3 linked regions of the Anolis sagrei genome follow. The protein of the gene in region 1 purifies or fractionates together with the protein of each later gene. This does not show direct contact. Links are inferred from orthologs where the notes say so. Each region holds a gene or a part of one and is shown on either strand. Other genes may lie near its edges. The genes, in order: PTPRU, GOLIM4 and CLGN.

The links.
Region 2: the proteins of PTPRU (region 1) and GOLIM4 purify together in Homo sapiens (affinity purification with mass spectrometry; 3 studies listed by BioGRID and IntAct, counting the BioPlex papers as one, with this or other methods). This does not show direct contact. The link is inferred for Anolis sagrei from reciprocal best matches to the Homo sapiens genes PTPRU and GOLIM4.
Region 3: the proteins of PTPRU (region 1) and CLGN purify together in Homo sapiens (affinity purification with mass spectrometry; 3 studies listed by BioGRID and IntAct, with this or other methods). This does not show direct contact. The link is inferred for Anolis sagrei from reciprocal best matches to the Homo sapiens genes PTPRU and CLGN.

Annotation. Positions count from the first base shown.
Region 1 is NC_090034.1:64,384,921-64,395,313, reverse strand, and holds the start of PTPRU (receptor-type tyrosine-protein phosphatase U), read left to right. Parts: upstream 1-5,521; 5' UTR 5,522-5,851; coding exon 5,852-5,954; intron 5,955-10,393.
Region 2 is NC_090023.1:250,644,296-250,655,348, forward strand, and holds the start of GOLIM4 (Golgi integral membrane protein 4), read right to left. Parts: upstream 4,434-11,053; 5' UTR 3,722-4,433; coding exon 3,535-3,721; intron 1-3,534. UniProt on the Homo sapiens protein: Plays a role in endosome to Golgi protein trafficking; mediates protein transport along the late endosome-bypass pathway from the early endosome to the Golgi.
Region 3 is NC_090025.1:45,312,426-45,323,455, forward strand, and holds the start of CLGN (calmegin), read right to left. Parts: upstream 4,685-11,030; 5' UTR 4,461-4,684; intron 1-4,460. Other genes in the region: alpha-1,3-mannosyl-glycoprotein 4-beta-N-acetylglucosaminyltransferase-like protein MGAT4D, read right to left, coding at 10,880-10,897. UniProt on the Homo sapiens protein: Functions during spermatogenesis as a chaperone for a range of client proteins that are important for sperm adhesion onto the egg zona pellucida and for subsequent penetration of the zona pellucida.

The sequences.
Region 1 (10,393 bases):
CCTTTCCCGATCCCCTGGCACTCCACCCGCCTCCTCTCCTCCTCGTGGGTGGGCCAAGGGGTGGAGCCACCGCATCTGGCCCGCTTCAGGTCCGGAGGCATGTCTGAAGACCCCAGCGTGCGCAGCAAAATTCGCCTCTTCTCCGGATTTTCTCTTCAGCCATTGGGACCAAGAGAGAGAAAGAGAGAGAGAGCCCCTCCGGCTGGAGGTATTTCCCACCTCCGCTCCCTCCTTTGTTTTTGTGCCTACCTTCAGGAAAGGTGTGCATCTCCACCTCTGTCTCTCTCTCTCTTGGTCCCAATGGCTGAGGAGAAAGTCAGGAGAAGAGGTGACTGTTGGTGCACACAGTCTTCAGGCACGCCTCCGGACCCAAAGCGGGCCAGGCAAGGGAGCAAGTGCGGCAAGTGTAGTTACTGGGATGTATAGTTCACCTACAATCAAAGAGCATTCTGAATTCCACCAATGATGGAATTGAACCAAATATGGCACACAGAACTCCCACGATGAACAGAAAATATATATCAACTAGCCGTCCCCTGCCATGCGTTGCTGTGGCCCAGTCTGGTGATCTGGAAAATAAAGTAATGAGAAAGTGTTGGTTTCTAATATATGTAATGTCTTTATGCTTGTGGGTAAACAGTATTTCTTGTTCTTTCTTGTCAGTGTTGATGTGGTGATTGTCTGGTTTGCCTACTCTGGAACATGCAACATCATCCTTCTTTAGGGGTCCCTTTCAAATCTTTGATTGTCATATACATATGTGTGTGTGTGTGTGAATGGCTGGATGGCCCTTTGTCAAGAGGGTTTTGATTATGTTTTCTTGCCCTGGGGAAGGGAGTTGGACTGGATGTCCTTAAGGCAGCATTTCTCAACCTGGGAAGTCAAAACCTGGGGGGGGGGGGTTCACCAGGGGGGTGTCAGAATGGTTACCAAAGACCACCAGAAAACACAGTTTTATGTTGGTCATTGGGGTTCTGCGTGGGATGTTTGGCCCCAATTCCATCATTGGTGGGGTTCGGAATGCTCTTTGATTGTAACTACAACCCCCAAATGTCAAGCTATAGTTTCCCCAAACCCCATCTGTGTTTATATTTGGGCATATGGAGTATTCGTGGCAAGTTTGGTCCAGATCCATCATTGTTTGAGTCCACAGTGCTCTCTGGATGTAGGTGAACTACAACTCGCAAACTCAAGGTCAATGTCCACCAAACCCTTCCAGTATTTTCTGTTGGTCATGTGAGTTCTGTGTGCCAAGTTTGGTTCAATTCCATCGTTGATGGAGTTCAGAGTGCTCTTTGATTGTAGGTGAACTATAAATCCCAGCAACTGCAACTCCCGAATGACAAAATCATAATTTGTTGAGTGATGGTCACTCCTTGTGTTGTGAGACGTTTTGTTGCCAAATTTAGTGTGATTCTGTTTATTGGTTCTTTTGTTTTTAAGGTACTCATTATGCACAGACCATTTATATATATAGATAGATAGATGATTGGTTGGGGGGGGGCGCCAAAATACTTTTTGCTTGTTGTTGTTCATTCGTTCAGTCGTCTCCGACTCTTCGTGACCTCATGGACCAGCCCACGCCATAGCTCCCTGTCGGCCGTCACCACCCCCAGCTCCTTCAAGGTCAGTCCAGTCACTTCAAGGATGCCATCCATCCATCTTGCCCTTGGTCAGCCCCTCTTCCTTTTACCTTCCACTTTCCCCAGCATAATTGTCTTCTCTAGGCTTTGCTGTCTCCTCATGATGTGGCCAAAGTACTTCAACTTTGTCTCTAGTATCCTTCCCTCCAGTGAGCAGCCGGGCTTTATTTCCTGGAGGATGGACTGGTTGGATCTTCTCGCAGTCCAAGGCACTCTCAGAACTTTCCTCCAACACCACAGCTCAAAAGCATCGATCTTCCTTCGCTCGGCCTTCCCTAAGGTCCAGCTCTCACATCCGTAGGTTACTACAGGGAAGACCATGGCTTTGACTAGGCGGATCTTTGTTGCCAGTCTGATGTCTCTACTCTTTACTATTTTATCGAGATTGGACATTGCTCTCCTCCCAAGAAGGAAGTGTCTTCTGATTTCCTGGCCACAGTCTGCATCTGCAGTAATCTTTGCACCTAGAAATACAAAGTCTGTCACGGCCTCCACATTTTCTCCCTCTATTTTCCAGTTGTCAATCATTCTTGTTGCCATAATTTTGGTTTTTTGATGTTTAGCTGCAACCCAGCTTTTGCGCTTTCTTCTTTCACCTTGATTAGAAGGCTCCTCGGTTCCTCCTCGCTTTCGGCCATCAGAGTGGTGTCATCTGCATATCTGAGGTTGTTAATGTTTCTTCCAGCAATTTTCACCCCAGCTTTGCATTCATCAAGCCCCACACATCGCATGATGTGTTCTGCATACAAGTTAATAAGGTTGGGTGAGATTATTCAGCCTTGCCGTACGCCTTTCCCAATCTTGAACCAGTCTGTTGTTCCGTGGTCAGTTCTGACTGTTGCTCCTTGGTCCTTGTACAGATTCCTCAGGAGAGAGACAAGGTGGCTTGGTATGCCCATCCCACCAAAAACTTGCCACAATTTATTATGATCCACACAGTCAAAGGCTTTAGAATAGTCAATGAAGCAGAAGTAGATGTTTTTTTGAAACTCCCTGCCTTTCTCCATTATCCAGCAGAAACAACTACCATCCGGTCAGCCTCATGTCGATACTGGGCAAGATTCTGGAAAAGATTGTTAAGAAAGCGGTCTGCAAACACTTAGAAACAAATGCAGTCATCGCTAATAGTCAACATGGATTTATCAAAAACAAGTCATGCCAGACTAATCTGATCTCTTTCTTCGATAGAGCTACAAGCTGGGTAGATGCGGGGAATGCTGTGGATGTAGCGTACCTGGATTTCAGTAAGGCCTTCGACAAGGTCCCCCATGACCTTCTGGCAAGGAAACTAGTCCAATGTGGGCTAGGCAAAACTACGGTGAGGTGGATCTGTAATTGGTTAAGTGGACGAACACAGAGAGTGCTCACTAATGCTTCCTCTTCATCCTGGAAAGAAGTGACGAGCGGAGTGCCGCAGAGTTCTGTCCTGGGCCCGGTCCTGTTCAACATCTTTATTAATGACTTAGATGAAGGGCTAGAAGGCATGATCATCAAGTTTGCAGATGACACCAAATTGGGAGGGATAGCCAATAGTCCAGAGGACAGGAGCAGAATTCAAAACGATCTGGACAGATTAGAGAGATGGGCCAAAACTAACAAAATGAAGTTCAACAGTGACAAATGCAAGATACTCCACTTTGGCAGAAAAAATGAAATGCAAAGATACAGAATGGGGGAGGCCTGGCTTGAGAGCAGTACGTGTGAAAAAGTTCTTGGAGTCCTCGTGGACAACAAGTTAAACATGAGCCAACAATGTGATGTGGCGGCAAAAAAAGCCAATGGGATTTTGGCCTGCATCAATAGGAGCATAGTGTCTAGATCTAAGGAAGTAATGCTACCCCTCTGTTCTGCTTTGGTTAGACCACACCTGGAATATTGTGTCCAATTCTGGGCACCACAGTTCAAGAGAGATATTGACAAGCTGGAATGTGTCCAGAGGAGGGCGACTAAAATGATCAAGGGTCTGGAGAACAAGCCCTATGAGGAGCGGCTCAGGGAACTGGGCATGTTTAGCCTGAAGAAGAGAAGGCTGAGAGGAGATATGATAGCCATGTATAAATATGTGAGAGGAAGCCACAGGGAGGAGGGAGCAAGCTTGTTTTCTGCTTCCTTGGAGACTAGGACGCGGAACAATGGCTTCAAACTACAAGAAAGGAGATTCCATCTGAACATTAGGAAGAACTTCCTGACTGTGAGAGCCGTTCAGCAGTGGAACTCTCTGCCCCAGAGTGTGGTGGAGGCTCCTTCTTTGGAAGCTTTTAAGCAGAGGCTGGATGGCCATTTGTCAGGGGTGATTTGAATGCAATGTTCCTGCTTCTTGGCAGGGGGTTGGACTGGATGACCCAAGATCAGCCCCCTCGCTGATGGTATTCCGAAGAAGATTAAAAACCTGGATGTTCGAGCAAGCATTTGGTTAATTCGGTGCAATGAATGGGATGATTAAGGATTGGTAATATGGATGACGAAACTGGACCACGATTTTAGTTAAGAGATGCATTGAATAGTGATTTATGTGTCAACATTGTGTATTATGTTTTTTATGGTTTTAAATTGTATATTGTGGATTGTGTATTTTGTTGTAAACTGCGTTGAGTCGCCAGCTAGGCTGTACAGTAAATAAATAAATAATAAATAAAATAAAATAAATAAATAAGAGGTCTCTTCCACCTCTTTGATTCTATGATTCTATGATTGGCAATCTGGTCTCTCGTTCCTCTTCCTTTTCTAAACCAGGGCACTCATTATGCACAGACCATTTATATATATATATATAGATGATTGGTTGGGGGGGGGGGGGCGCCAAAATGCTTTTTGCTTTTTGTTGTTCATTCGTTCAGTCATCTCTGACTCTTCGTGACCTCATGGACCAGCCCACTCCAGAGCTCCCTGTCAGCCGTCACCACCCCCAGCTCCTTCAAGGTCAGTTCAGTCACTTCAAGGATGCCATCCATCCATCTTGCCCTTGGTCGGCCCCTCTTCCTTTTGCCTTCCACTTTCCCCAGCATAATTGTCTTCTCTAGGCTTTGCTGTCTCCTCATGATGTGGCCAAAGTACTTCAACTTTGTCTCTAGTATCCTTCCCTCCAGTGAGCAGCCGGGCTTTATTTCCTGGAGGATGGACTGGTTGGATCTTCTCGCAGTCCAAGGCACTCTCAGATCTTTCCTCCAGCACCACAGCTCAAAAGCATCGATCTTCCTTCGCTCAGCCTTCCCTAAGGTCCAGCTCTCACATCCGTAGGTGAGTACAGGGAATACCATGGCTTTGACTAGGCGGATCTTTGTTGCCAGTCTGATGTCTCTACTCTTCACTATTTTATCGAGACTGGACATTGCTCTCCTCCCAAGAAGGAAGCGTCTTCTGATTTCCTGGCCACAGTCTGCATCTGCAGTCATCTTTGCACCTAGAAATACAAAGTCTGTCACAGCCTCCACGGTTTCTCCCTCTATTTTCCAGTTGTCAATCATTCTTGTTGCTATAATCTTGGTTTTTTTGACGTTTAGCTGCAACCCAGCTTTTGCGCTTTCTTCTTTCACCTTGATTAGAAGGCTCCTCAGCTCCTCCTCGCTTTCGGCCATCAGAGTGGTGTCATCTGCATATCTGAGGTTGTTAATGTTTCTTCCAGCAATTTTCACCCCAGCTTTGCATTCATCCAGCCCCGCACATCGCATGATGTGTTCTGCATACAAGTTGAAAAGGTTGGGTGAGAGGATGCAGCCTTGCCGTACGCCTTTCCCAATCTTGAACCGTTGACAATTACCTAGGGCCGCCTCTGATTGTGAGTCCTGGGGCTGTCCTGCTCCTCGCTGGGCCAGCAGGGGGCGCCCGCTCCTTTCCCAGCCCCCTCCCCAAATCCAAATCCAACCCCACGGGCCCCCGCCCCGCCCCCTTCGCTTCGCCTGGGAAGCCTGACGTCACTTCGCCGCGGGGGGTTGGCTGTTTTTTTGGGTTGGTTTGGTGCGTGCCTGCGGAGGAAAGGCTCGGCTCCGGCTTCTCCGCCCGGAAGGAAAGGCACAACTCGGAGTCCGCAATCTCGGAGACCCCGCGCCACACAGGAGATCAAGGCGGATCATTATCAGAGTCCACACTGCCATCCAATCCCTTTCAGTTTGGCCTTGGGGCAACTTTGTGGGAAAGGCCTGCAAGCGGAGAAGATTGCGGAAGGAGAAGTCGGGAAGGAGGAGGAGGAGAACTTTTCTTGGCGGCTCGGCATGCAGGGCAACGCCGCCCGCGCCGTGCTCCTCGCGCTCGCCCTCCAGCTCTGCTCCGCCGAGACCGAGGCGCCCGCGGGAGGAGGAGGAGGAGGAGGAGCAGGTCAGTCCCTTCCCCCCCCTCCCCCTCCCTCTGCCCCTGCCCTTTCGGCGCCCTTTGGGGAAGGGGCCCACCTTCCCTCCCCTTCCCTACCTTCCCCATTCCTCCCGGTCTCTCGGGGCCCCCTCAGTACCTGTTTGGCCACCCACAAGATCTGCTTGGAGCTGGGTTATCTGAGTCCACACTGCCACATTTTATTTATTTATGTATTTACTTTATTTGTATACCGCACTCTCTCAGCCCGTAGGCGACTCAGTGCGGTTTACAACCAGGGCAATATACAAAGGTGCACAACATTAGCATTAGCATTTCAAAACAGTAACTAGAGCAGTGTTTCTCAACCCTTGAGGGGGTCGTGAGGGGGTGTCAAAGGGGTCGCCAAAGAACATCAGAAAACATAGTATTTTCTGTTGGTCATTGGGATTCTGTGGGAAGTTTGACTCAATTCTATTGTTGGTCGAGTTCAGAATGCTCTTTGATTGTAGGTGAACTATAAATCCCAACAACTACAACTCCCATATGTCATAGAATCATAGAATCAAAGAGTTGGAAGAGACCTCATGGGCCATCCAGTCCAACCCCCTGCCAAGAAGCAGGAGTATTGCATTCAAATCACCCCTGACAGATGGCCATCCAGCCTCTGCTTAAAAGCTTCCAAAGAAGGAGCCTCCACCACACTCCGGGGCAGAGAGTTCCACTGCTGAACGGCTCTCACAGTCAGGAAGTTCTTCCTCATGTTCAGATGGAATCTCCTCTCTTGTAGTTTGAAGCCATAGTTCCGCGTCCTAGTCTCCAAGGAAGCAGAAAACAAGCTTGCTCCCTCCTCCCTGTGGCTTCCTCTCACATATTTATACATGGCTATCATATCTCCTCTCAGCCTTCTCTTCTTCAGGCTAAACATGCCCAGTTCACTAAGCCGCTCCTCATAGGGCTTGTTGTCAAGGTCTATTTTTCCCAAACTCCACCAGTGTTCACATTTGGGCATACTGAGTATTCGTGCCAAGTTTGGTCCAGATCCATCATTGCATGAACCCACAGCACTCCTCTGGGCATAGGTGAACTACAACTCCCAAACTCAAGGTCAATGCTCACAAAACCCTTCCAGTGTTTCCTGTTGGTCATGGGAGTTCTGTGTGCCAAGTTCGGTTTAAATCCATTGCTGGTGGCGTTCAGAATGCTCTTTGATTATAGGTGAACTATAAATCCCAGCAACTACAACTCCCAAATGACAAAATCAATCCTCCCCTCAACCCCACTAGCACTCACATTTGGGCATATTGCGTATTTGTGCTCACTTTAGTCCAGTGAATGAAAATGCATCCTGCATATCGGATATTTACATTACAATTTATAACAGTAGAAAAATGACAGGTATCAAGTAGCAACAAAAACAATATTATGGTTGGGGGTCACCACAACATATGGAACGGCATAAAGGGGTCACGGCATCAGCAAGGTTGAGAACCACTGAACTAGAGCAACTAAATCACATAACAATACATCAGTACATCAATATAACAACAATACATCCATATAACTAATCCATCACGTCTCATCAATAAAGTCATAATCCAATCTCCTCGTCCATTATTCCAAGTTCCAATCTCAATCAATTGATTGCACTGCTTAATTAAACGCCTGTTCAAAGAGCCAGGTCTTCACTCTTCTCCTGAACGCCAGCAGGGAGGGGGCCGATCTAATGTCTGCGGGAAGGGCGTTCCACAGCCGAGGGGCCACCATTGAGAAGGCCCTGTCTCTTGTCTCCATCAGTCATGCCTGCGAGGCTGGCGGGATCGAGAGCAGGGCCTCCCCGGACGATCTTAATGTCCTAACTGGTTCATAGGGGGTGATGCGTTCGGACAGATAGGTCGGGCCAGAACCGTTTAGGGCTTTAAAGGCTAAAGCCAGCACTTTGAAATGTGCCCGGTAGCAAATTGGCAGCCAGTGGAGCTGGCGCAACAGAGGAGTGGTGTGCTCCCTGAATGCCGCTCCCGTTAGCAACCTGGCTGCTGCGTGCTGGACCATCTGAAGCTTCCGAGCAGTCTTCAAAGGCAACCCCACGTAGAGAGCGTTGCAGTAGTCTATACGGGATGTAACCAGTGCGTGGACTACCGTGGCCAAGTCAGACTTCCCAAGGTACGGGCGCAGCTGGCGCACAAGTTTTAATTGTGCAAATGCTCCCCTGGTCACCGCTGAAACCTGGGGCTCCAGGCTCAGCGATGAATCCAGGATCACACCCAAGCTGCGAACCTGCGTCTTCAGGGGGAGTGTAACCCCGTCCAACACCGGCTGTAACCCTATAACCTGTTCGGCCTTACGACTGACCAGGAGTACCTCTGTCTTGTCTGGATTCAGTTTCATCTAGTTCAGTGCTTCTCAACCTTCCTAATGCCACGACCCCTTCATTCTCATGTTGTGGTGACCCCCAACCATAAAATTTGTTCCCTTGCTGCTTCATAACTGTCGTTTTGCTGCTGTTATGAATAGTAATGTAAATATCTGATATGCAGGATGTATTTTCATACACTGGACCAAATTCGGCACAAATACCCAATACACCCACATTTGAATACTGGTGGGATTGGGGGAGGGTACTGATTTTGTCCTGTGGGGGTTGTAGTTGTTGGGATTTATAGTTCACCTACAATCAAAGAGCATTCTGAACTCCACCAACGATGGAATTGAATCAAACTTGGCACACAGAACTCCCATGACCAACAGAAAATACTAGAAGGGTTTAGTGAGCATTGACCTTAAGTTTGGGAGTTGTAGTTCACCTACATTCTGAGAGCACTGGGGTCTCAAACAATGATGTATCTGGATCAAACTTGGCACAAATACTCAATATGCCCAAATTCTGAACCTCGCCAATGATAGAATTGTGCCAAGCTTCCCACACAGAACCCCCATGACCAACAGAAAAGGCTGTCTCAGTTCTTGTGGGTTTTTTCGGGCTATATGGCCATGTTCTAGAGGCATTTCTCCTGACGTTTCGCCTGCATCTATGGCAAGCAGGCGAAACGTCAGGAGAAATGCCTCTAGAACATGGCCATATAGCCCGAAAAAACCCACAAGAACTGAGTGATTCCAGCCATGAAAGCCTTCGACAATACACAGAAAAGGCTGTGTTTTCTGATGATCTTTGCGACGCCTCTGACACCCCCTCGCGACCCCCCTCGGGGTCCCGATCCCCAGATTGAGAATCACTGATCTAGACCAAACTTGGCACGAATACTCAATATGCCCAAATATAAACATTGGTGGAGTTTGGGGGAAATAGACCTTGACATTTGGGAGTTGTAGTTGCTGGGATTTATAGTTCACCAACAATCAAAGAGTATTCTGAACCCTACCAACGATTGAATTGGGCCAAACTTCCAACACAGAATCCCCATAACCAACAGAAAATACTGTGTTTTCTGGTGGTCTTTGGTGACCCCTCTGACACCTCCTCGCGACCCCTCCAGGGGTCCCAACCCCCAGGTTGAGAAACACTGATCTAGTTCAGTGTGGGTTAGATCAAGCGGGGTATAAGTCTGACTTGGCCACGGTGGTCCACACTCTTGTTACATCCCAATTAGACTACTGCAATGCGCTCTACGTGGGGCTGCCTTTGAAGACTGCCTGGAAGCTTCAATTAGTCCAACGGCTGCTCACCGGAGCGGCATACAGAGAGCATACAACTCCTCTGTTACGCCAGCTCCACTGGTTATTTATTTATTTCTATACTAGCTGTCCACTGCCACGCATTGCTGTGGCCCAGTCTGTTGATCTGAAAAATAAAGCAATGAGAAAGTGTTGGTTTCTAATATATGTAATTTCTTTATGCTTGTGGGTAAACAGTATTTCTTGCTTTGTCAGTGTTGATGTGGAGAGTGTCTGGTTTGCCCACCCTGGAACATGCAACATACCATTGTCCTTCTTTAAGGGTCCCTTTCAAATCTAGGATAGTATGTCTCTGTGTGTGTGAATCATATCTATCTATCTATCTATCTATCTATCTCTATATCTATGGCTGGATGGCTCTTTGTCAGGAGGACTTTGATTACGTTTTCTTGCCCTGATGGAGTTGGATTGGATGGCCTTAAGTATCTTCTTTTGGTCATGGGGGTTCTGTGTGGGAAGTTTGCTCCGATTTTGTCGTTTGTGGGGTTCAGAATGGTCTTTGATTTAGGTGAACTGTGAGTCCCAGTGACTACAACTCCCAAATGTCAAGGTCTATTTCCCCCAAACTCCATCTGTGTTCATATTTGGGCATATTGAGTGCTTGTGCCAAGTTTGGTCCAGATCCATCATTGTTTGAGTCCACAGTGCTCTCTAGATGTAGGTGAACTACAACTCCCAAAGTCAAGGTCAATACCCACCAAACCCCTCCAGTATTTTCTGTTGGTCATGGGAGTTTTGTGTGCCAAGTTTGATTCAATTCCATCGTTGATGTAGTT
Region 2 (11,053 bases), on another chromosome or scaffold:
CTGTATAATAATATAGTAACCATTTTATATTTATGGGTTTAACTTCCACAAATGTAGTTATTCACAGATGATTTGCTGCCACACATTATTTTTAACAGACACTATAAGAGGGGTGAGAGGGAGGAGGGTTCATGCAAGAGTTGGCCAAGCCATCAAGGCAGTGGAGAGAGTGGCACTCGGAGTCTGCTCTTCCTCCTGCTACTGTTGCATGCCACATGTGTCTGTTCCCCCAGACCATGTCAATTATGCCACCAGTTGTGCCACACAAATTAGTAGCAGTGACTCCAGGAAACATGCCCAGCTCTTTCTGCAAAAACATCAAGATAAGGTAGAGTTGATGCCAGCGCTCCCTTTACAAAGACACCTCCACCTGGAGCTACTGCTTGCATGCAGGATGTACGAGATAAGCAAAGAGGCATTTTTGCTGTGGCATCCCAACTATGAAATACCCTTCCTACAAAAGGTGTGACTAGTCCTTTACGGGGTTGAGAAAGGCAATATATAAATAGGGTAAATAAATAAATATTTTAAAAATGTATCTCTGCTGCTTTTGTTTTTGAATTTTGTCTTATGGTTTATATTCTTGGTTTGTCTATTTGTGGATTTGCTGTTATTTTTAGAGATTAAAAATTATTAATAAAAAATAAATTTCTGATTGCCAAGTCATTTTAGTTAGTTGATTCTGTCTTATTGTGTCTGTTGCCATTTTTGTTTGTTTAAGCTTTTTAAAATATATTAGATCATTTTAAATTTCTTTCTACATCACCCTGGAATCCAGCAGGATGAAGAGTGGCTTAAATATGTTTCAATAAATGTAATAAAAGTGGACTTTACAAATCAAAATAATAGAAGTATGGTACAAAATATATTAATTAAATTATGAATAGCATTAAATGAATCAAAAATCCCCTCTTGAATATTATCAGATATCAGCATTATTCAACTACTAGAGCTGATTGAAATGAAATTCTTTGCAGAGTGCAACATTAAATATTCGAATCCTTCACTACAGGATGTGGCGATGGCTGGGATGACTTTAGTGCATTAAAGAAGTTGTTTAGTTCTGTAGAAGTTGTTAGGAATACAGTTTTCATCTTTATCAATCACTGGACACACTCACTGGTGCTAAAGAAAGTTGGACTCCAAAAGCACATGAAGGGCCAAAAAAGTTAGAGTGAGACTCTAGAACAGTGGTTCTCAACCTGTGGGTCCCCAGATGTTTTGGCCTTCAACTCCCAGAAATCCTAACAGCTGGTAAACTGGCTGGGATTTCTGGGAGTTGTAGGCCAAACACCTGGGGACCCAAAGGTTGAGAACCACTGCTCTAGAAAAGTTCCAAAAAGTAAAACCCTCCAGAAGGAGGCATACCTGCATTGGATGCCTGGCTTTGGGCTTTGAGTGAGTTAGGCATAATGCCACTGCTGGGCAAAGAACAACAATCCCTGTGACCTGTTCAGGCCTGAAAAGGGGCAAAGTCTGGGCATTTCCCCCTTGAACCAGTCAGCATGACTAAACCAATAACTCAGAAGCAGTGGTCTCAGGCTCTTTACTCACTTCTACAGCTACAAAATGGAAATGAAGTGGGTACTAACTGCTGCCAAACCCTGTAAAGGGGCAGAGAAAGACTTCCCTCTCCCAATTCCCCTAGACTTTATGACAACTCAGCACAAGAGTATGTACATGAGTCGAGCAACAGCAATCATGAAGTGCTATGGTGCACTTGCTCCAAATGCCCCTTTGATAAATCTGTCTTGGCCACTCATTCCACACCCGCTGCTTTACAGGAAACAAATTGAATTTTCAAAGATGCCTATCAAGCAGCGCAGAGCTCGTGGGAATGTGAAGAATGTTATGGGAAAAAATGCTGAATCTAGACAGACCCTGATTTAACAGCTCTCAACCATGTTCAGCACATCTAGGCCCCATCTACACTGTCCTATACTGCAGTCTCAGGATGCAGTTGAGCTGCATTATTTGGCAGTGTAGACTCATATAATCCAGCTCACTGCAGTTAAACTTAATTCTAAAACTGCATGATAGGGCAGTGTAGATGGGGCCCTCGTTCTCAACCATCTCTCAATGGTTTGGCAAGACCATTCTAAATTAAGGGTACAGTTACACTGACCACTTAGGTTGTTACCACTGAGGAGGTAACAATTTCACTGCACAGATGATTATAAATTCTGGAACCAGTTCAAGGCCTGGATTGTGTTTATATGCACCACCAAAGTTGGTCTCAAACTGGCTCCAGGATCTGCAGTATCTGTGACTTCACTGCCATGTTGGAACCCACAAAGCAATGGATTCAAACTGGAAGAAAAGAAATTCTGTTTAAACATTAAGAACTTCCTCATGGTAAGAGCCTGGGAGTGTGGTGGAGTTTCCTTCTCTGGAGGCTTTTGAGCAGAAGCTAGTTGCTCATCTTTTGAGGTGTTTTGTTTGTATGTTCTTGCATGGCAGGGGATTAGACTGGATGGCTCTTGGGATCTCTTCCAACTCTATGATCTAACATCACAATTCACATGTGTGGAACAACACACAGTTTCGCCATGCAATGTGGTTTACACTTAGGCATACTGATTCACATTATGGGCCCAATTTAAGAATATCACTGGACTTCGCTAATTTCTGTTTAAAGCCCTTATGCTGCATTCCTTCACACATTTCTCACATGCATCATCTAAACATTGTCAAGCTGTCTTCTAACTGCATTAAGTGATCAGTATAAATGTGGTCAGTTCTATCACCAATTGACTCATTTAGTCACAAACACAAATTCAGACCGGAAGTTATGGTAAATAGAAACAATGATGTGTGATAATGTATTTGCAACTCTACTTTTACTCCCCGAGTTGTTTAACTTTTTTCAAAGAGTGTGTAATTGTACATACATAAGCAGAGGTTGGAGCAACAGGTGTTGACACATGGGCTATAAAGGTGTTGACACATGGGCTATATAACAAGTGTTGACACATGGGCTATAAAAGTTGGATGAGGGTGTTAAGGTTGCATCTACACTGTGGAAATAATGTGTTTCAACACCACTTTAACTGTCATGGTTTAATGCTGTGGAATCATGTGAGTCATAGCTCTTTGGCAGAGTTGGCTAAACATCTTGGAAAACTGCAACTCGCATGATTCCACAGCACTGAGGCATGGCAGTTAAAGTGATGCCAAACTGTACCAGGCATGGGCAAACTTGGGCCCTCCAGGTATTTTGGACTTCAACTCTCACGAATTGTGGGAGTTGAAGTCCAAAACACCTGGAGGGCCCAAGTTTGCCCATGCCTGGTGTGGATGCACCCTCAAGATGAAAAGAACTTTGTAGACCAGTGGTTCCCAACTTTTGGACCTCCAGGTGTTTTGGACTTCAACTCCCAGAAATCCTAACCAGCTTACCAGCTGTCAGGAACTATGGGAGCTTAAGTCTGAAACACCCGGAGGCCCAAAGGTTGGGAACCACTGTGGTAGACCTTCCAGATGCCAGGACCTGGGTGGAGCTTTGGTCGATCAGAGAGAGGCAACTTCTTTTACCTTGGAGTTGTGCTGAAAGGGCCTCTTGGTGCTGCTGGTACTTGATGGAAACGGCCTCCGCCTTCTTGAGCTGGTTCTGCAGCTCGTAGTAGAGCATAGCCCCGTAGATGAAGCCGAAGACCACGGTGAGGAGCAAGAGGGACTGCAGGATGCGCTTCTGCTTTCGGGAACACATCCCGTTGCCCATAGTCCTTCCCTTGGGGGAATCCAGGAGCTTGTCCGCCTCTAGACTTCAGTGTTTAGGCAACCCTCCGCATGGGGCAAGGGCACCAGGAGTGAGGCCACCAGAAGAAACAAGCTTGGGCCATAGACCCTGGCCCTAACTATAACCCCTTTGGCCTCAAGCCTCGCCAGGCATCTCAGGCCATCCTGCAGACAGGGCAAAGTGGCCAGTGAAGAAGAGTCAGGCCAAAGGAGGCTGAAGCTGAGCTCTTCTCAATGCTTCTTGCCCTTTGGATGGGACTCTATCCACTTAGGATGCTTAGGAGAGAGAAGGCATCCCAGATTGGATCTCTCCTCTTTAGGAAAATACTTTTTTGTTTATGAGGAGGGGCTTCCTAAGGGCAAATCCCAAGGTTATGGCCCCCAAGGTCTCTTTTGTTCCTGGCCAGCTGGCCCACCTGACTTGCCCCCTTCTTGTCTCTCTCCTGTTGCAGGCGGGCTCCTAGCTGCCTGCCTCCCGGAGACCCCTTCTCCAACCGGGGCTTCCCCCCTCCCTCTGCCTCCCCCCTCAGGCTAAAAGTTCCTTTCTCTCTCTCTCAAGGGCAACTTTTCCCCTTGGGTGGGAGGGGGCGCCTCTTCCTCCTCCTGGGTCGCCCTGGCCGCCTTCCAGCCCCGCACTTACGTGTCACCTCCGCGGCTCAACTGCGGGATTCCCGCCTCCTCCCCCCTCCCTCCCCAAAGGAAGTCCCGCTCTGGACGCGGCCTCATTGGGCGAAGCCCCTCCTGGCTCCCCTCCTCCCCGAGGGGCAGCCACGGCGCCCATTGGATGCTGCCCTTGTCCGTCTCGGACGCTCCAGCCCCGCTCCCCCTCCCCTCCCATTCCAGTCTGGAACTCATAGGAAGGGGGCGGCGCGTGGGATTTCCACGAGGGGCGGGCAGACGCGCCTCCCCTCTCTCTCTCTCTGTCTATTGCTTCTTTGGTCTTTCCTCTGTAGGCTTGAACGCATGGGGAGTGCACGCGTCTGGCTGCAATACCCTCCCTGCCCTACCGAGAAGAGATCTTTGTTTATATATTATAAATATCTACTGTTGCAAGCTCCCCAAAGATTGCAACAGTAATATTAGAAATACATATATATATACTAGCTGTATCCACCACGCGTTTCTGTGGCCAGCATTCTCTCCCTCTTTCTCTCCTTCCTTTCTTACTCTCCTTCCTTTCCTTCTCTCTTTCCTTCTCTTCCCTTCCCCCCAGTTTTCTTTCTCTTCCTCTTTCTCCCAGTTCTCTACCCAATCTTGGACTGCAACTCCCAGCAGTCCTCCTGATCAATCTACCTACCTACCTATCTCTATTTGATCTATTCTGGAGGATTGGTGGGAGCTGCAGTCCAGGAATAGGGAATTGGAAATATGCAGGGATTGCAATGCTCTCAAATCCAAGGAGAAGATAGCTTGCAGCTTCGAAGAAGTGCATTGGATCACCCTCTAGAACATCAAGCAAAAAGTGGGTGCTAGAAACAATATCTTACAAAAGCTGACTGGCACAACCTGGGGATCACAACCAGATACAGTGAAGACATCTGCCCTTGCGCTGTGCTACTCCGCTGCTGAGTACGCATGCCCAGTGTGGAACACATCTCACCACACTAAAACAGTGGATGTGGCTCTGAATGAGACATGACGCATTATCACGGGGTGTCTGCGCCCTACACCACTGGAGAAATTACACTGTCTAGCCGGTATCGCACCACCTGACATCTGCCGGGAAGTGGCAGCCAATAGTGAAAGGACCAAGGCAGAGACATCTCCAGCTCATCCCCTGTTTGGGTATCAGCCAGCACGTCAATGACTTAAATCCAGACATAGTTTTCTAAGATCTACAGAGACACTCGCTGGAACACCTCAGCAAGCGAGAGTCCAAAAGTGGCAGGCTCAAACCCAGAACCTCAACTAATGGCTGATACCAAATGAGAGACTCCCTCCCACACAGAAGACTGGGCAACTTGGAAGGCGCTGAACAGACTGCGCTCTGGCACCAGAAGATGCAGAGCCAACCTTCAGAAACGGGGCTACAAAGTGGAATCCTCGACATGCGAGTGTGGAGAGGAGCAAACCACTGGCCACCTGCTGCAATGCAACCTGAGCCCAGCCACATGCACAATGGAGGACCTTCTTGCAGCAATACCAGAGACACTCCAAGTGGCCAGATACTGGTCAAAGGACATTTAATCAACTACCAAACTCACAAGTTTTGTATTTGTCTGTTTGTTTGCTTTGTTCTGTTAGAAATGTAATATAATTGACTGGCTGCCCTGACATGAGAAATAAATAAATAAACCCTCTAGATCACCCTCCTCTCCTATGGAGCCCCCAGTGGCACAGTGGGTTAAACCCCTGTGCCGGTAGGACTGCAGACCGACAGTTCGCAGGTTTGAATGTGGGGAGAGGTGGATGAGCTCCCTCTATCAGCTCCAGCTCCTTATCTGGGAACACGAGAGAAGCTTCCCATAAAAATGATGAAAACATCAAGTCATCCGGGCGTCCCCTGGGCAACGTCCTTGCAGACGGTCAATTCTCTCACACCAGAAGTGACTTGCAGTTTCTCACGTCGCTCCTGACACAACAAAAAGAAAACAAAAACCAAAAACCCTCCTCTCCTAAATGACCTGGTCTAGGGGATGCTGGGAACTGTAGTCTGGAAGAGAGTGTGGATATGCTACTGTGTGTTTCGTTTGCCGGGGGAGGTTTTTTTTTTTTTTTTGCACATGCGCTGTAGCGTCTTTTTGCTCTCTTTTTTTTTTTTGGCTTCTTAAGTCCCTTCTGTTGTGTTTTTCAGTGTTTCATTGGCCTGATAGGTGTCGTGAGTCCAAATTTAGTGTCAATTCGCCCAGTGGTTTTTAAGTTATGTTAATCCCACAAACAAACATTACATTTTTATTTATATAGGTAATAACTAGCCATCCCCTGCCATGCATTGCTGTGGCCGAGTCTGTGTATATGTGTTTTGTGTGTATATATATTTGTCTATATGTGTATATATATGTGTGTGTGTTTGTGTTTATATGTGTGGTTTTGCACATGCGTTGTAATGAGTTTTTTATTTTTTTTGGCTTTTAAAGTCTCTTCTGTGTTTTTCAGTGTTTTTATGAGTGGTGGTCACTCGTAGGCCTGATAGATGTATTGTGCTCAAATTTGATGTCATTTTATCCAGTGGTTTTTGAGTTATGTTAATCCCACAAACAAACATTACATTTTTAATTTTATAGAAGAGAAAGAGAGAGAGAGAAATTGGCTTCCCAAAGTACACAGAGGCCCCTTCCACACAGCTGAATGGAATCCCACATTTTCTGCAGTGTTTCTGGCAGTGTTTACTCGTAGAATAGAATCATAGAGTTGGATGAGACCTCGTGGGCCATCCAGTCCAACCCCCTTGCCAAGAAGCAAGAAAATTGCATTCAAAGTACCCCCCGACAGATGGCCATCCAGCCTCTGTTTAAAAGCCTGCAAAGAAGGAGCCTTCACCACACTCCGGAGCAGAGAGTTCCACTGCTAAACAGCTCTTACAGTCAGGAAGTTCTTTCTAATGTTCAGATGGAATCTCCTTTCTCGTAGTTTGAAGCCATTGTTCCGCATTCATGTTCAACTTGTTGTCCACAAGGACTCTTAAGATCTTTTTCACACGTACTGTTCTCGAGCCATGCGTCCCCCATTCTGTATCTTTGCATTGCATTTTTTTCTGCCTAAGTGGAGTATTTATTTTATTTATTTATCGTGTCAGGAGCAAGCCAAACAGTTGTATTGCATTTTAACAAACAAAACAAAACAAAGTTTGCAAGCTTGGTAGTTGATTAAATGTCCTTTAACCAGTAGCTGGGCACTTAGAGTGCCTCTGGTGTTACTATAAGAAGGTCCTCCAGTGTGCATGTAGCAGGGCTCAAGTTGCATCGCAGCAGGTGGTCTGTAGTTTGCTCTTCTCCACACTCATATGTCGTGGATTCCATTTTGTAGCTCCATTTCTTAAGGTTGACTCTGCATCTCGTGGTGCCAGAGCGCAGTCTGTTCAGCACTTTCCAAGTTGCCCAGTTTTCTGTGTGCCCAGGGGGGAGTCTCTCATTTGGTACCAGCCACTGGTTGAGGTTCTGGGTTTGAGCCTGCCACTTTTGGACTCTCGCTTTCTGAGGTGTTCCAGCGAGTGTCTCTGTAGATCTTAGAAAACTATTTCTTGATTTAAGTCATTGACGTGCTGGCTGGAATATTGCATTTGTCAGATAACCCAAGGCCCTTCCACACAGCCCTGTATCCCAGGGTATCAAGGCAGAAAATCCCACAATATCTGCTTTGAGCTGGGTTATCTGGGATTTTATTCAGCTGTGTGGAAAGGGCCTGAGATACTCCAGTTCAAAGCAGATGTGTTGGGATTCTCTGCCTTGATATTCTGGGATATAGGGCTATATGGAAGGGCCCTGAGTCCACATTGCTATATATGCCAGTTCAAAGCAAATATTGTGGGATTTTCTGCCTTTTCTGCCACAGCTTTATTGAGCCCGCATCATGAAAGTCCTCATTATTATCTATATTCCCATTGGGTTGTTGTAGGTTTTTTGGGTTGAATGGCTATATTCTAAAAGCATTCTCTCCTGCATCTGTGGCAAGTGTCCTTGGAGGTTTGTTGGAAACTGGAAAATTGGCTTTATATATCTGTGGAAGGTCCAGGGTGGGAGAAAAAAAACTCTTGTCTGTTGGAGCTAAGGTGTGACTGTTCCAATTGGCCACCTTGATTAGCATTTGATGGCCTGACAGTTTTGAGGTGTGGCTTGTTACTGCCAGGGAAATTTCCTTGTTGAGAGGTGACCAGGTGTTTCTGATTGTTTCCTGGCTGGAGTTTCTCTGTGTTTGAGTTTTGTTTCTTATTTACTCTTATAATTTTAGAGTTTTTTTTTGTTCTGGTAGCCAGATTTTGTTCATTTTCATGGTTTCTTCCTTTCTGTTGAAATTGTCCATATGATTGTGGATTTCAATGGCTTCTCTGTGTAGCTTGACATGGCAGTTGTCAGAGTGGTCCAGCATTTCTCTCTTCTCAAATAATATGCTGTGTCCAGGTTAGTTCATCGGATGCTCTGCTATGGCAGACTTCTCTGTTGAAGTAGTCTGCAGTGCCTTTCATGTTCCTTGATTTGTGTTTGGGCACTGTGTTTTGTGATCCCTGTGTAGACTTGTCCACAGCTGCATGGTATACAATAGACTTCTGCAGAGGAGAGAGGATCCTCTTGTCCTTTGCTAAATGTAGTATTTGTTGGATTTTCTTAGTGGGTTTGTAGATAGTTTGTATGTTGTGTTTCCTCATCAGCTTCCCTATGCAGTCAGTGGTTCCCTTGATGTATGGCAAGAACACTTTTCCTCTGGGTGGATCTTTGTCTTTACTCTTGTGGCTTGTTCTCAGTCTTGCAGCTCTTCTGATGTCTGAGGTGGAGTATCCATTGGCCTGGAGAGCCCAGTTGAGGTGGTTCATCTTGGAGGAGGTGGGTTTAGAAGATTCTTTTTGCACGGTCTGTCAGGCCTTTAATGGTGCTTCTTTTTTGACTTGGGTGATGATTGGAGTTTTAATGTAGGTATCTGTGTGTGTAGGTTTTCTGTGTGACCCAAATGTTGATCTGGTTTATGGATGACTAGGACATATAGAAATGGCAATTTTCCTTCATTTTCTAAATACCAACAACAAAGTGATCAGCTTTGGTGTGGTGTCTCTATTTACCATGGTCCCGGTAGCAGACACTATCAAAATAATCAACCAGAAGTTCCCGGACGACATCACAGCTCTGTTTCATCATTGCCTCACCACCAGCTACTTTCAGTGGGACAATGAATTATATGAACAGAAAGATGGAGTAGCTATGGGGATCCCTCTCAGCCCAGTCATAGCAAATTTCTACATGGAACACTTTTGAAAAACAAGCCCTGGAAACAGCCACAAAAAGGCACACTATATGTTTCAGATATGTGGAGCCACCATTTGGAGCCACGGAGAAGAAGAACTAAACAAGTTCCTGGACCACCTGAAGAGCATCCACCCAAATATCCAATTCGCCATGGAAAAAGAACATGAAGGGTTTTTTTTAATTATGCCATAAGAATATGGCATAATGTAACAATGTCTTAAGAGAATGAACAAGATCCTCGCCAAGTCTTACATATTATTTCCCCACACCCAAACAAGGGTGCCAATGTTTATATGAAATCTTTGGTACGTTGTTTCTAAAGAATCAGCCTTATTAATATGTTGCAGTGTAAAAAGGAAAAAAGGAATCTTAACAGCACTCTTAAAATTAACTTATTTTCATTTCAACCTGAGCTTTTGTGGATACCAAGTCACAATTATTCTGTAATACAGAATAATTAGGTTATTAAGCATACAGTTATTGAAGCAGGATAAAATGTAATTCAGAAGGATACAAATCATGTCCCTTGCCTTGAATCTTTTTAGGCTGTGTGAGGTGTTCCAGGTCTTGCAGATCTTTCACAACGTGAGAAAATAAGGATAAATTTATCATTCAACTATTATGTCTCTCCAAAGAGAGAGGGGGATATTGGTTTATTGCAGTATAAAAATGAAATGCTAACAAGAGTGAAGGAACCTAGTAGCAATTTCAAGAGTAAATTATTCATTTTAGTGTGGACTTTCCTGAATTACATTCCACTTATCCAGAACCTTTGGTGGAATTCACATGAAAGCATAGGTATATTGCCAGTTACATGTTTGTGTTGAAAGTCAACATGGAGTGTAGTGGCTTGAGTGTTGGATAGCTACTCCAGCCATTATGGTTCAAATCTGTACACAGCCATTTCAACAAGCTGCTTTACCTTTGACAAGTCACGCTCTCACAGCCTCAGAGGAAGGAAAAAGCAAACAAATCTTGCCAAGAAAACCCATGATAGGGCACCTTAGGATCACCATAAGTCAGAAATGACTCGAGGACACAGACCAACAACAGCAACATAGCTGTGAGTGTGAGATCAGAGGATAATAAGATAAGTGAAGAAGCAATTTGTGAACCTCATAGTTCTGAAAGATGATGCAGGTTCATCAATTCTGGAATGCTTAGTTCCCTTGAAATCAGAGGCTTTGTTCTACCTTTCACTCATCTATTGTCATAAAGACATTTGCATTAATTGTTCTTAGCAAATGGGTTGGGACGTGTGTACATATGTGCGTGTGTTGGAGTGTGTTTGTATGTATATATTTGTGTGTGTTTGTGTGTGTGTGTATGAAAGTTGCTTGTAAGTATTCATTTGCAGCTTTGAAAAGTAAGTAAAGGTAAAGGTTTTCCCTGACATTAAGTCTATTTGTGTCTGACTCTGG
Region 3 (11,030 bases), on another chromosome or scaffold:
GGGTGGTTGTAGGTTTTTCAGACTATATGGCCATGCTCTAGAAGCACTCTCTCCTGATGTTTCGCCTGCATCTATACTAGGCATCCTCAGAGGTTGTGAAGTCCTCTGGTCAGTCAAAAGGCTGAACTTAAACTTCAGGGTGAAAGTGATTTAATTCTTTGTGTAAGAATCTCATGAGCCTTTAATGGCAACAGAATAGGAAAGTGAATGGATCTGTCACAAAGTCATCTGGGATGCTGTCTAATTGAACATATCAGATTCTGTGTATAGCTATAGATGTCGAAGCGAAAGAATGAAAAATGGTCATAGAAGCTTTCTACTTTCCCTGAACTGAAATCAATGGAAATCGCTTTGGGAAATGCAGTTTGCATTGATTTCAGTTTGAAACTACAATTCACATTACAATACTTAAGGTTTTCAAAATTCGCCAATGCTTTTGATAACAATCTCAGGTTTTGTGAAGGTATATCCAGTCTTTTACCACAAAGTAACATCACAATTAGTAATCTGATCCATGCAGATCTTTATAAACTAGGAGGATCCAAAACAAATATTTTAATTGGCGACACGTTTAGAGTTTCAGTCCATATCCTGGCCATCCTATGGCCACTGAGCAAGTTCTATTCTTCAATTTCCCCACTTCCTCACACGTGTTTATTTTTGAGGATCTTGGGGTTACCTTAAGCCTGTTAATATCTACCTGTTGTAATGGCTGGTGACTTTTGGCTGCATAAAAGCAGGTACTCAGGTAAATGAATATACATTTAACTTTTATCCCACTCTTCTGCAAAAAGGTTCTATGTGATTCTTGCCGATTTCCCCCCAATTTTATCTTCACAGCAAACCTGGGATGTAGGTTCAGAAGTTGGCCAAGATGCTTTGTGGCCAAGTAATAGACAAACCCTAGTCTAATACAACAAGCCCTGTTTGTACCCTATGACGACAGGAACTCCCGGTGGCGCAATGGGTTAAACCCTTGTGCCAGCAGGACTGAAGACCAACAGGTCTGAGGTTTGAATCCAAGGAGAGCGTGGATGAGTTATTTTCATAGATTCTCTGGGATTTTATGTCAGTATTTGTTGGTTTTATGAAGGCATTGAATGTTTGCCGTTGTTATGGTGGAATCCGCCCTGAGTCTCCTTGGGGAGATAGGATGGAATACAAACAAAGTTTTTAATGTCATTATTATTATTTGAAACACAACAAGATTAGTACACAGCAAACAAGGTCACTATGCTGGCTGTTGTATTGGATCACATGTCGGACACGCCCAAGTGTCTAGGACTGTGTGATGTATCGGCGAATAATGCATGCAGATCCCAGTAGGGTGGCTTTTTGCAGCTGACAGATGGTAATTTTGTCAGTGCTGATTGTGTATAACTGCAGACTAAAGTCTTTAGGCACTGCACCCAGTGTGCCAATCACCACTGGGACCACCTTTACCGGCTTGTGCCAGTCTTTGCAGTTATTGTTGTTGTTGTTGTTATTATTATTATTATTATTATTATTATTATTGAGGAATCCTTTGTTAGGAGGCACTAACTGGCCCCGATTCATTCTTGTCTTACTCAAAAAGCAGGGGAATACCAGAGGAGAATCAATCTCCCACCCTGGACATTCCACAGATACATAAACCTCACTTGCCTAGTTTCCAACAGACCTAACAACCTCTGAGGGTGCCTGCCATAGTTGTGGGCAAAGCAGCAGAAGAGAATGCTTCTAGAACATGGCCAGAAAACTCACAGCAACCCATTACAAATATGATTTGAAAATATTTATTGAACAATTTCAAAAAGCAAACCTTGATTTTTCTGTTGAAATTGTCTACATGCTTGTAGATTTCAGTGGTTTCTCTCTATAGTCTGAGGACGCCTGAATACGAGGGACGCCATTGCATATAAACATGAAATTTTGGTATACTCAAGAGCCCCGTAATTAAACCCCAGTGAATATCAAGGGCACATTATATCCTATTCAATTCTCTTACCAGACTGTATGTAGTAAGACTAGAAATTGGATTAAAGGGTGCATCTATAAGAGCCATGAGCCAACTTGGGCCCTCCAGGTGTTTTGGACTCCAACTCTCAGAATTCCTAATAGCCTCAGGCCCCTTCCTTTTCACCCTCTGCCGCTTAAGTGGAAAAATATTGGACACTCAATTAATTTAGAGGATTGGGAGAAAACATGGAACAAGAAAATGAAATATACTTATGCATCTAATTTAAAAGAAAACTGGCTAAAAATCACACCTCAGAAACTGGCAAAATGCTACCCAGAAATCAACGATAAATGCTGGAAGTGCGAAGAACAAACTGCCTCTTTTTATCATATGTGGTGGACATGTAAAACTTCCAAAACACATTGGAAAAATATCCACGAAAAAATAGAAAAGATACTGGATATAAAAATGGAATTAAAACCGGAATATTTTCTTCTGGGAATAATTGACTTCGAAATAGAGCTAAATAAAGATTAAATTTTTCAACTACCTGGTGACGGCGACCAGAATAAATTATGCAAGAGTATGGAGAATGAAAGAGATTCCATCTCAAGAGCAATGGTTAATAAATATTTTTAGATATTATGAGTATGGATAAATTAACCCAATGGATGAGCATAAAGCAGAATTTGAAAATTTCCAAAACAGACTGGATACCAATAAAGAACTATATAATGCAAGAAAACCTGAAATGGTAAATAGATCATATAAGATAATTTCAAGCATCAAATGCTCTCAGGATGAACCATAAGAAGGAGCTTGCCAAACTACCGTGATTGACTATCAAAAAAAGGAAAGAAAAGGAAGATACACCCGACGTGAAGAGGATTGGAAGTCAGACTGTATATTAACCCTAACCCCCCTAATCCCTTCCCTATCCTTCCATCCTTCCCACCCCCCCCCCCAAAAAACAGTCCCCTATCTAAATTTATTTATTTTTATTTCATATACTTCTACCCCGCCCTTCTCAACCCCCGAGGGGGGACTCAGGGCGGCTTACAAAATGGCACAATTTGATGCCCTCACAATAATACAATAAACGTATAAAAACAGCAGTTAAACGGTTAAACAATTAAAACAACAATATATATCACAGTCAATAGCCAATCTCATGCATGGCGTTCGCCAACTCAGAGTCCATACTTCGTTCCACATTGTCTATTCCTATCCGTCGTCGCAGTCCTTTATTTATCTGCCAGATTGCCCAAACGCCTGGTCCCACATCCATGTTTTTAATTTCTTTCTAAGAGCCGCTGCAAACTAGCCTCCTGTGGGAGCAAACTGTGCCAGCACGTCCCTGACGTCATGAGACTGTGCCTCTCTCTCCGCCCCTTTCTCCGCCTCTTTCTCCGTGCCAGAGTGGTTTTTCCTTTGCTAGGGCAGCATTGCCAGCATACTCTCGTTGTTGAATTCTGCCAACGAGAGTACGCTGGCAATGCTGCCCTAGCAAAGGAAAAACCACTCTGGCACGGAGAAAGAGGCGGAGAAAGGGGCGGGGCGAGAGGCGGAGTCTCATGACGTCAGGGACGTGCTGGCACGGTTTGCTCCCGCAGGAGGCTAGTTTGCGACGGGTCTAAAGGAAAGGAGGGATGTCGCTGATCTAATTTCCCCGGGAAGTGAATTCCATAGGTGAGGGGCCACCACTGAGAAGGCCCTGCTCCTCGTCCCCACCAATCTCACTTGTGACAGAGGCGGGGCCGAGAGCAGGGCCTCCCCAGAGGATCTCAAACTCCGAGGTGGGAGGTAGAGGGAGATGCGTTCGGACAGATACGCTGGGCCAGAACCGTATAGGGTTTTGTAGGTCAAAACCAGCACTTTGAATTGTGCTCGGAACTGGATCGGCAGCCAGTGGAGCTGACACAACAGGGGGGTGGTATGCTCCCTGTATGACGCTCCGGTGAGCAATCTGGCTGCCTCCCGCTGGACTAATTGAAGTTAATTGAAGTTAAATCTCTTCTTACCTTTTTCTATTCTCCTACTTTTCTATACCAAACAATTGTTCCCCCTGTTATTATTATATCTGAAAAACTTCAATAATATATATATATAGGAATTGTGAGAGTTGGAGTCCAAAACACCTGGAGGGCCCAAGTTGGCCCATGCCTGTTATAGATGCACCCTTCGGTTACAAACTAAGCAAGTACAAACCTAGGCCTGCCTTAAGCTTGAGGCACAGTCAATGCCCAAATCCTATTTTACGCTTTTGAGGAGGGGAAAAAGGTTTGTCGCCCGTGAGACGGAGACAAAACAACTATGAGCCGTCCTTGGGGAGACCTCGCATGCATCCGAAGGGCAAGGCGCGAGGCATTCAAATGAATGAGGGGGGAGAGGCCCGCCAACGGAACCATGGCGACCGCTTCCAGGCCCTCCTCCTCTCCTTCCTTCTCCCTCACGACCGCTCCCTTTTCGTTCCCCTTCCTCGCCCCGAGCAGGAGGCGCCCTGGGCCTCGCCTCGTCTCACCTCTCTCTCCCTCCTCACTGACAGGCCGCGACCGTTACCGCCCGTCAATCACGCTCCCCCCTCCGCACGCAGTCCTCTCGGCAGCGCATCCCCCGGCGCGCATGCGTCGCTGGTCCAAGCGCAGGTGCTTCGGCACGCGCCGCGCCGTCGCAACCAATCGCGATAGGGCGCTGAGAGGCTGAGCGAACCAATCGCAGGGAAGAGATTTTTTTTTCTTCTTCTTCTTAATTCCCTTCGGCTCACTTAACCCAACCCCGGATCGGTCCGCCGCTCGGTGACAAGGCGGCACGTGCCGGCTCGTCCAATCGGATCCGCCGTGGGGCGTGGCTTCATGAGCATCTCGCCTAATAAGAGCTCTGACTCAAGAGAGCGCGCCCAGTGGAGAGTCGACCAGGCACGAGGAGACTTCGGGCGTCTAATTGTTTTGGACTTGAAACTCCCACAATTCTTAATTGATTCAAATCCTTGATGATATTTATTTATACCCCCCACTTTTTCTCTCCACAAGGAGACTCAAAGCAGCTATTTGTTTTTGTGTCTACATTGAAGGAAGAAGTCCCACTTTCTTCTGCTTCCCTCAGGCCTCACCCAGGAATCCTGTGTTCAATTCTGGGCCCCACAATATCATGGCAATTTTTTTTTCGTGTTAGGAGTGAAAAATACATAAACAAATAACCATCCCACCAAAAACACACAGGAGTGACGAGAAACTGCAAATTCCTTCTGGTGTGAGAGAATTGACTGTCTGCAAGGATGTTGCCCAGAGGACGCCCGGATGTTTTGATGCATTCCAGAGCCAGGGGGCCACCACCAAAAAGGCCCTCTCCTCCATTCCCACCAGCTGCACTTGTGAGGGTGGTGGGACTGTGAAGAGAGCCTCCCCGGAGGACCTTAAGGTCTGATAGGTTAATAGGGGAAAACATAAATTCAATACTGGATTACATGACAGTGTAGATCTAGCCTAAGAGTCACCAAGCTTCACTGTGCAGTAGTGAACCTGAGTGTTTCTAGTTTGTTTGTGTGTGTGTGTGTGTGTCAGGAGCAAGGATGATGCCCAGGGGACACCCAGATGTTTTGATGTATTACCATCCTTGTGGGAGGCTTCTCTCATGTCCCTGCATGGGGAGCTGCAGCTGACAGAAAGAGCTCATCCGCGTTCTCCCTGGATTTGAACCTGTCGGTCCATTTCACAGCACAATTCAAAGTGCTGGTCCTGGCCTCTAAAGCTATATACGTCTCCGGCCCAGCTTACTTGTCCGAATGTATCTCTCCCTACATTCCACCTCGTAGTTTAAGATCCACTGGGGAGGCCCTGCTCTCGGTCCCATCAGCCTCACAAACACATCTGGTGGGGACGAGGGACAGGGCCTTCTCGGTGGTGACCCCCCACCTGTGGAATTCACTCCCCAGTGAGATTAGATCAGCGTCCTCCCTCCTTTCCTTTAGGAAAAAACTGAAATCGTGGTTTGGGAACCAGGCTTTTGACTAGCAGGCACAATGGCACTTTGGACATTGAACTGGACCATATGATTGTTATGCTAATGGAAACAGCTATATGACTGTATCATTCATGTTATTGTTTTTAATTTGTTATGTATTTATGGTTTTATATTGTTATTGTGATATTGCGGCATCAAATTGTTGTCACTGTGAGCCAATTTGACAATTTGAACTGAAAGGAGGAAACTATGAAAAGGAATAATATCTGTATATAAAAAACTCAGTAAAGAAAGAACAGCACTCAAAAGTGGGGAGTTCCAGACAAGAAACAATCAGGGACAGCTAATCACCTCTCAACAAAGGATTGTGCCGGGCAGGAAGTGGCCAAGCCTTGAAACTGCAAGACTATACCATGCTAATCAAGGTGACCTATGGCAGCATTTACACTTGCATTCACACACTCCACAGATATATAAACCTTACTTGTCTAGTTTCCAACAGACCTTACAACCTCTGAGGATGCCTACCATAGATGTGGGTGAAATGCCAGGAGATAATGCTTCTGGAACATAGCCATGCAGCCCGGAAAACTCAGAGCAAACCAATATTAACAATGTTTAATACTTTAAAATATTTGTATATTGTATATTTTAAGTTGTATTGTAATCTTTCAATTGTGAGCCACTTTGAGTCTTCGTATGGAGAGAGAAGGTGGGATATAAATAAGCATCGTAATAATACTGTTTGAATATTCATAGTTAAAAATATATAAAAATATCAACTGTTTGCAATGCTGTTTGCTTTAATTCTTGTTATTGGCCATCAAGTTGACTTTGACTTATGGCAACTTTGTGAATGAAAGACCTCCAATATCTCTGGTTGTCTATTGCCTTGCTTGATGTAGTTGTATCTTGCAGGTTTCATCCCAAATAGGGAATATGTGTGTGTGTGTGTGCGGGCGTGCCACACGAACCCAACAGAATGGAATTTTCCCTAATGCACCATGATGCTCCAAGAAACACTCTTTTTTTTTCAAAATAGTTTATCTTTCCATTCAAAGGGCTAACAGTCCCAACCCCATCCATATGGCACTCCAGTGTAACCATGGAGCAAGTTGCTATGGAACATCACCTGCTTGTTGCTGTGTACAGAGAAAAGTTCCCTATGCAGTTTCTTGGTGGCAGGAGCCTTGCTCTCCACATCAATATCCCTTAAGAGTTACTTCAGTCTAAGTTTTCAGGGCATCTTCCCACCCTCCTCAATGCCTTAAATTAATGACAGTTTAAGTTGCTGTACTAAATTATACATTAGGTGACAGATCTTATTAACCCCATTGTTCATTCTTTTTGAGCTCCTTCCTCAGAAACACATTCTTTCACTACCTATCTCATCCAGGATTTTTATCAATTTTATCCTAGTACATTTGGCCCGCCCACTGTGTTCAGTTTCTCTATCATGTAATTTTGAAACTGTTTATTTTGTTTTTTAATGTATTTATTTTGATGGTATTTTTGCTTCTTTGTATTTTATTTTGCTGTACTGTAATTTTGGGCTTGGCCTCATGTTAGCTGCCCCGAGTCCCCTTTGGGGAGATGGTGGCAGGGTACAAATAAATAAATATTATTATTATTATTATTATTATTATTATTATCTGTTGGCAATATTTTAGTTTTGGGTTCCCTCATTATAATTTTTTAAAGTCAGCTTTCAGACATCCTGTTGTGAATTTCATCCTGACCAAAAGTAAGAGGAAAGGATGATAGAATGTTAAATCCTACAGTGAAATGTGTGTTACTTTTCACATCTCTCTGCAACACAACTTGGAATGTAACTGAGAAAGTAGCATGCACATATTAGGCTAACAGTGGGCAACTTCTAACAGATGTGGGGATGGGGGGGGGGTGTTTTGTTCATACAGCACTAGGCAACCCATAACCAGAATAAAACAAAGATATAAGCCTGATCATTCAACAGTTAACTTACAGATCAGATGAGAGTGCTGCTCACTCATTCTGGGGAGGAGGCAAAAGAGTCCCTTGAATAAGCTTGGGTGGGAGTGCAGCTGAAAGCTCTAGAGGGGTTTTGTCAACTCAGTTCAAACCATGTTCAGTAGGGCATGGCTGCAAGAGCTATCAGGCTTCCCATCCCATCCCAAACTTGGCACACAGAACTTCCATGACCAACAGAAAATACTGTGTTTTCTGATGGTCTTTGGTGACCCCTCTGACAACCCTTTGCAACCCCTCCTTAGGAATCCTGACTCCCAGGTTGAGAAACGCTGCCCTAAACCGAGCTGAATATTTTTTTGGCTGTTTAATACTGCAATCCAGTGTATGTTTACTAAGAATAAGCTGCGTTTGACATATTGGAACTTGATTCTGTTGTAAATATGCTTAGGTTTTCATTGTTATGCTGCAGTCCTTTTGTATGTATGTATTATAAGCCCGAATGAACATAATTGCACTTGGTTATGAATAACAATTGTTCTCCAAATATCACTTCTCTCACTAGGAAGTCATGATCTTAGCCCCAACCAGAGTAAGGCCCATTGAATCAATGAGGGCGTGATAATAGTTCTAAAATAGATAGGACTATTTGATTTATAGTTTTGTAATGCAGTGACCAGAATGGTAGATTTTAAAAAATGAAACCTGGGCCCAGATCCACATTATCACCATGCCCATTACCACGTGGAGATACACGAGCACTTCAGGTAGCAACAGTGGCAGTCCCTGGTCATATGTTGCTACATATTTTCTGTCATCTTTTCAAAGGGCCCTCTACACAGCCATATAACCCAGAATATCAAGGCAGACAATCCACAATATCTGCTTTGGACTGGAATATCTGAGTCCACACTGCCATGTAATCCAGTTCAAAGCAGATAATGTGGGATTTTATTCAGTTGTGTGGAAGGGGGCTGTAGTCAGTTTCCCAATTTGAGGAGATACTTTCTCAGCTGTCAGTCCAGATGGCTTTGGTATTTGTCATGATAGCGGGAGCATTAACTTGTTTTTTGCATCAGAGAATGACCTACTCTTTTTCCACTGGAGAAGAACGAAGCCACCTGTATTTTCCCTTTACTTGGCTAAACATTGGTTTAAGAATAACATTTCAATTTGCTAGAACAATACCAGGTGAAATGATTAAATACTCCTCAGCTCAGCACTGCTGTTCCAATTCATTTTGAAGCATACTCCTCCACAAAAAGGAAATTAGGGGTCCATGTAACATCCCATATAGATTACTGCAACACACTCTACATGGGGCTGCCTTTGAAGACTATTCAGAAGCTTTAACTGGTCCAACAGGCAGCAGCCAGGTTGCTCACCGGAGCGATGGACATTGAGCACACAACTCCCCTGCTGCACCAGCTCCACTGGTTAACAGTCTGCTTCCGAGCACAATTCAAAGTGCTCACTTTAGCCTTCAAAGGCCTATACGGTTCTAGCCCAGCTTACCTGTCCAAATATATCCTCCCCTATGAACCACCTGAGAAATTAAGATAATCTGGGGAGACCCTGCTCTTGGTCCTGCTTTCTTCGCAAGCACACTGATGGGGATGAGAGACAGGACCTTCTCAGTGGTGGCCCCTCAGCTGTGGAACTCTCTCCCTAGTGACATCACATCAGCCCCCTCCCCCCTCACCTTCAGAAGGCAAGTAAAAACCTGGCTCTGGGACCAGGCTTTCGGATAATAGTGTAGTGCATAGGCATGGGCAATCCATGGTTCTAAAGTACTTACAAAACTAAAGTTCTGGTGGTGAACACTAGGGGGCGCTACTGCTTTGCTTCTACAGTGTTGCTAAAGTTCTGGTGGTGAAAATTTCAGAATTCTAAAAAAACCTTCAAAAATTTGTTATAAATGGCAGTTCTGTCATAAAATTGGCAATAATGAAATAATAATGAAATGTTGAAAATTTTGTTAGAGTTCTGAAATTTCACCATCAGAACTTTAGCAACACTGTAGAAGCAAAGCATCAGTGCTCCCTAGTTTTCACCACCAGAACTTTAGTTTTGCAAGTACTTTAGAACCATTTAGAACCATGGTTTGCCCATAGGATTATGTACAATTATTATCTGCCTCCCCAGACTATATTAATCTCTGAGATGATTCATAGGGGAGGATATGTTCAGACAGGTATGCTGGACCGGAACCATATTGACTTTGGACCACGATCTTTGGATGGCATGGTTTCAATGCTAAATGCAATCTTTAAAATGCTTAACTTGTATTAATTTTAACTCAACTGATTTTAAGTTTTTAATGTCTGCATGTGTTGCAAGGCATTTAATAATTATCGTATGTAAGCCACCTTGAGTCTCCTTTAGGGTAGGGAAAGGTGGGGTTTAAATGGAGTGAATAGGTAAATAAATAAATAACGAAGCTTTCAAATGATAAAACAGGCAGGTATTATTTTAGGATTGTAATGTCAAGAATACCCCAGGCAGCATGTTTAAAGCTTTTTCCATATTTAACTTGTAAGAATACTGGATGTGCTTCTTAAAATAATGATAAAATAATAATGCTCAAGTAATATGTTGCAATTATAAGGAGACTGAAAAGCCTGCAATTCTGATAAATAGTTTTTATTTTAAAAATGTTTTAAGTGTACTACTAATCAATCTCCAATTATGAAATTTACAGGACATTTTCCCAGTCTTCAATTGAATGTATTGCTTAGTTAGTGTGCATAGGATAGTTGCCTTATTATATTTGTTCAAACTATCAATATGCATTTTATTTACAAAACAGTCATTGACATTTAAATCGCTATGAGAAATATTTCAAATTCCGCATTTAAGATGTAATCAGATTCTTTTTAACATTAATAATACTCTATACAAAAAGGACAATTTTCCCCACCCCAATACACAGTATTAGAAAGGAGATTCATTTTATTGCTGAGCATTTTGTTGCTACCACTAGATGGCCTTCCTCCAATGCAGCATTGAAGACTCAAAGACATCTCTTTTTCTTCATGTCCTTATAAATATCTGCATTAAAAGGAAAAGGAGGGGTTGTCAGTGTTTACAAAATGTAAGATTGAAGACAGTTATCCAGCTTCATCCCTTCTTCATACAAAAGCTAAATTTACATAATTTTTACTAGCCTCCTCGATGTGTCCCA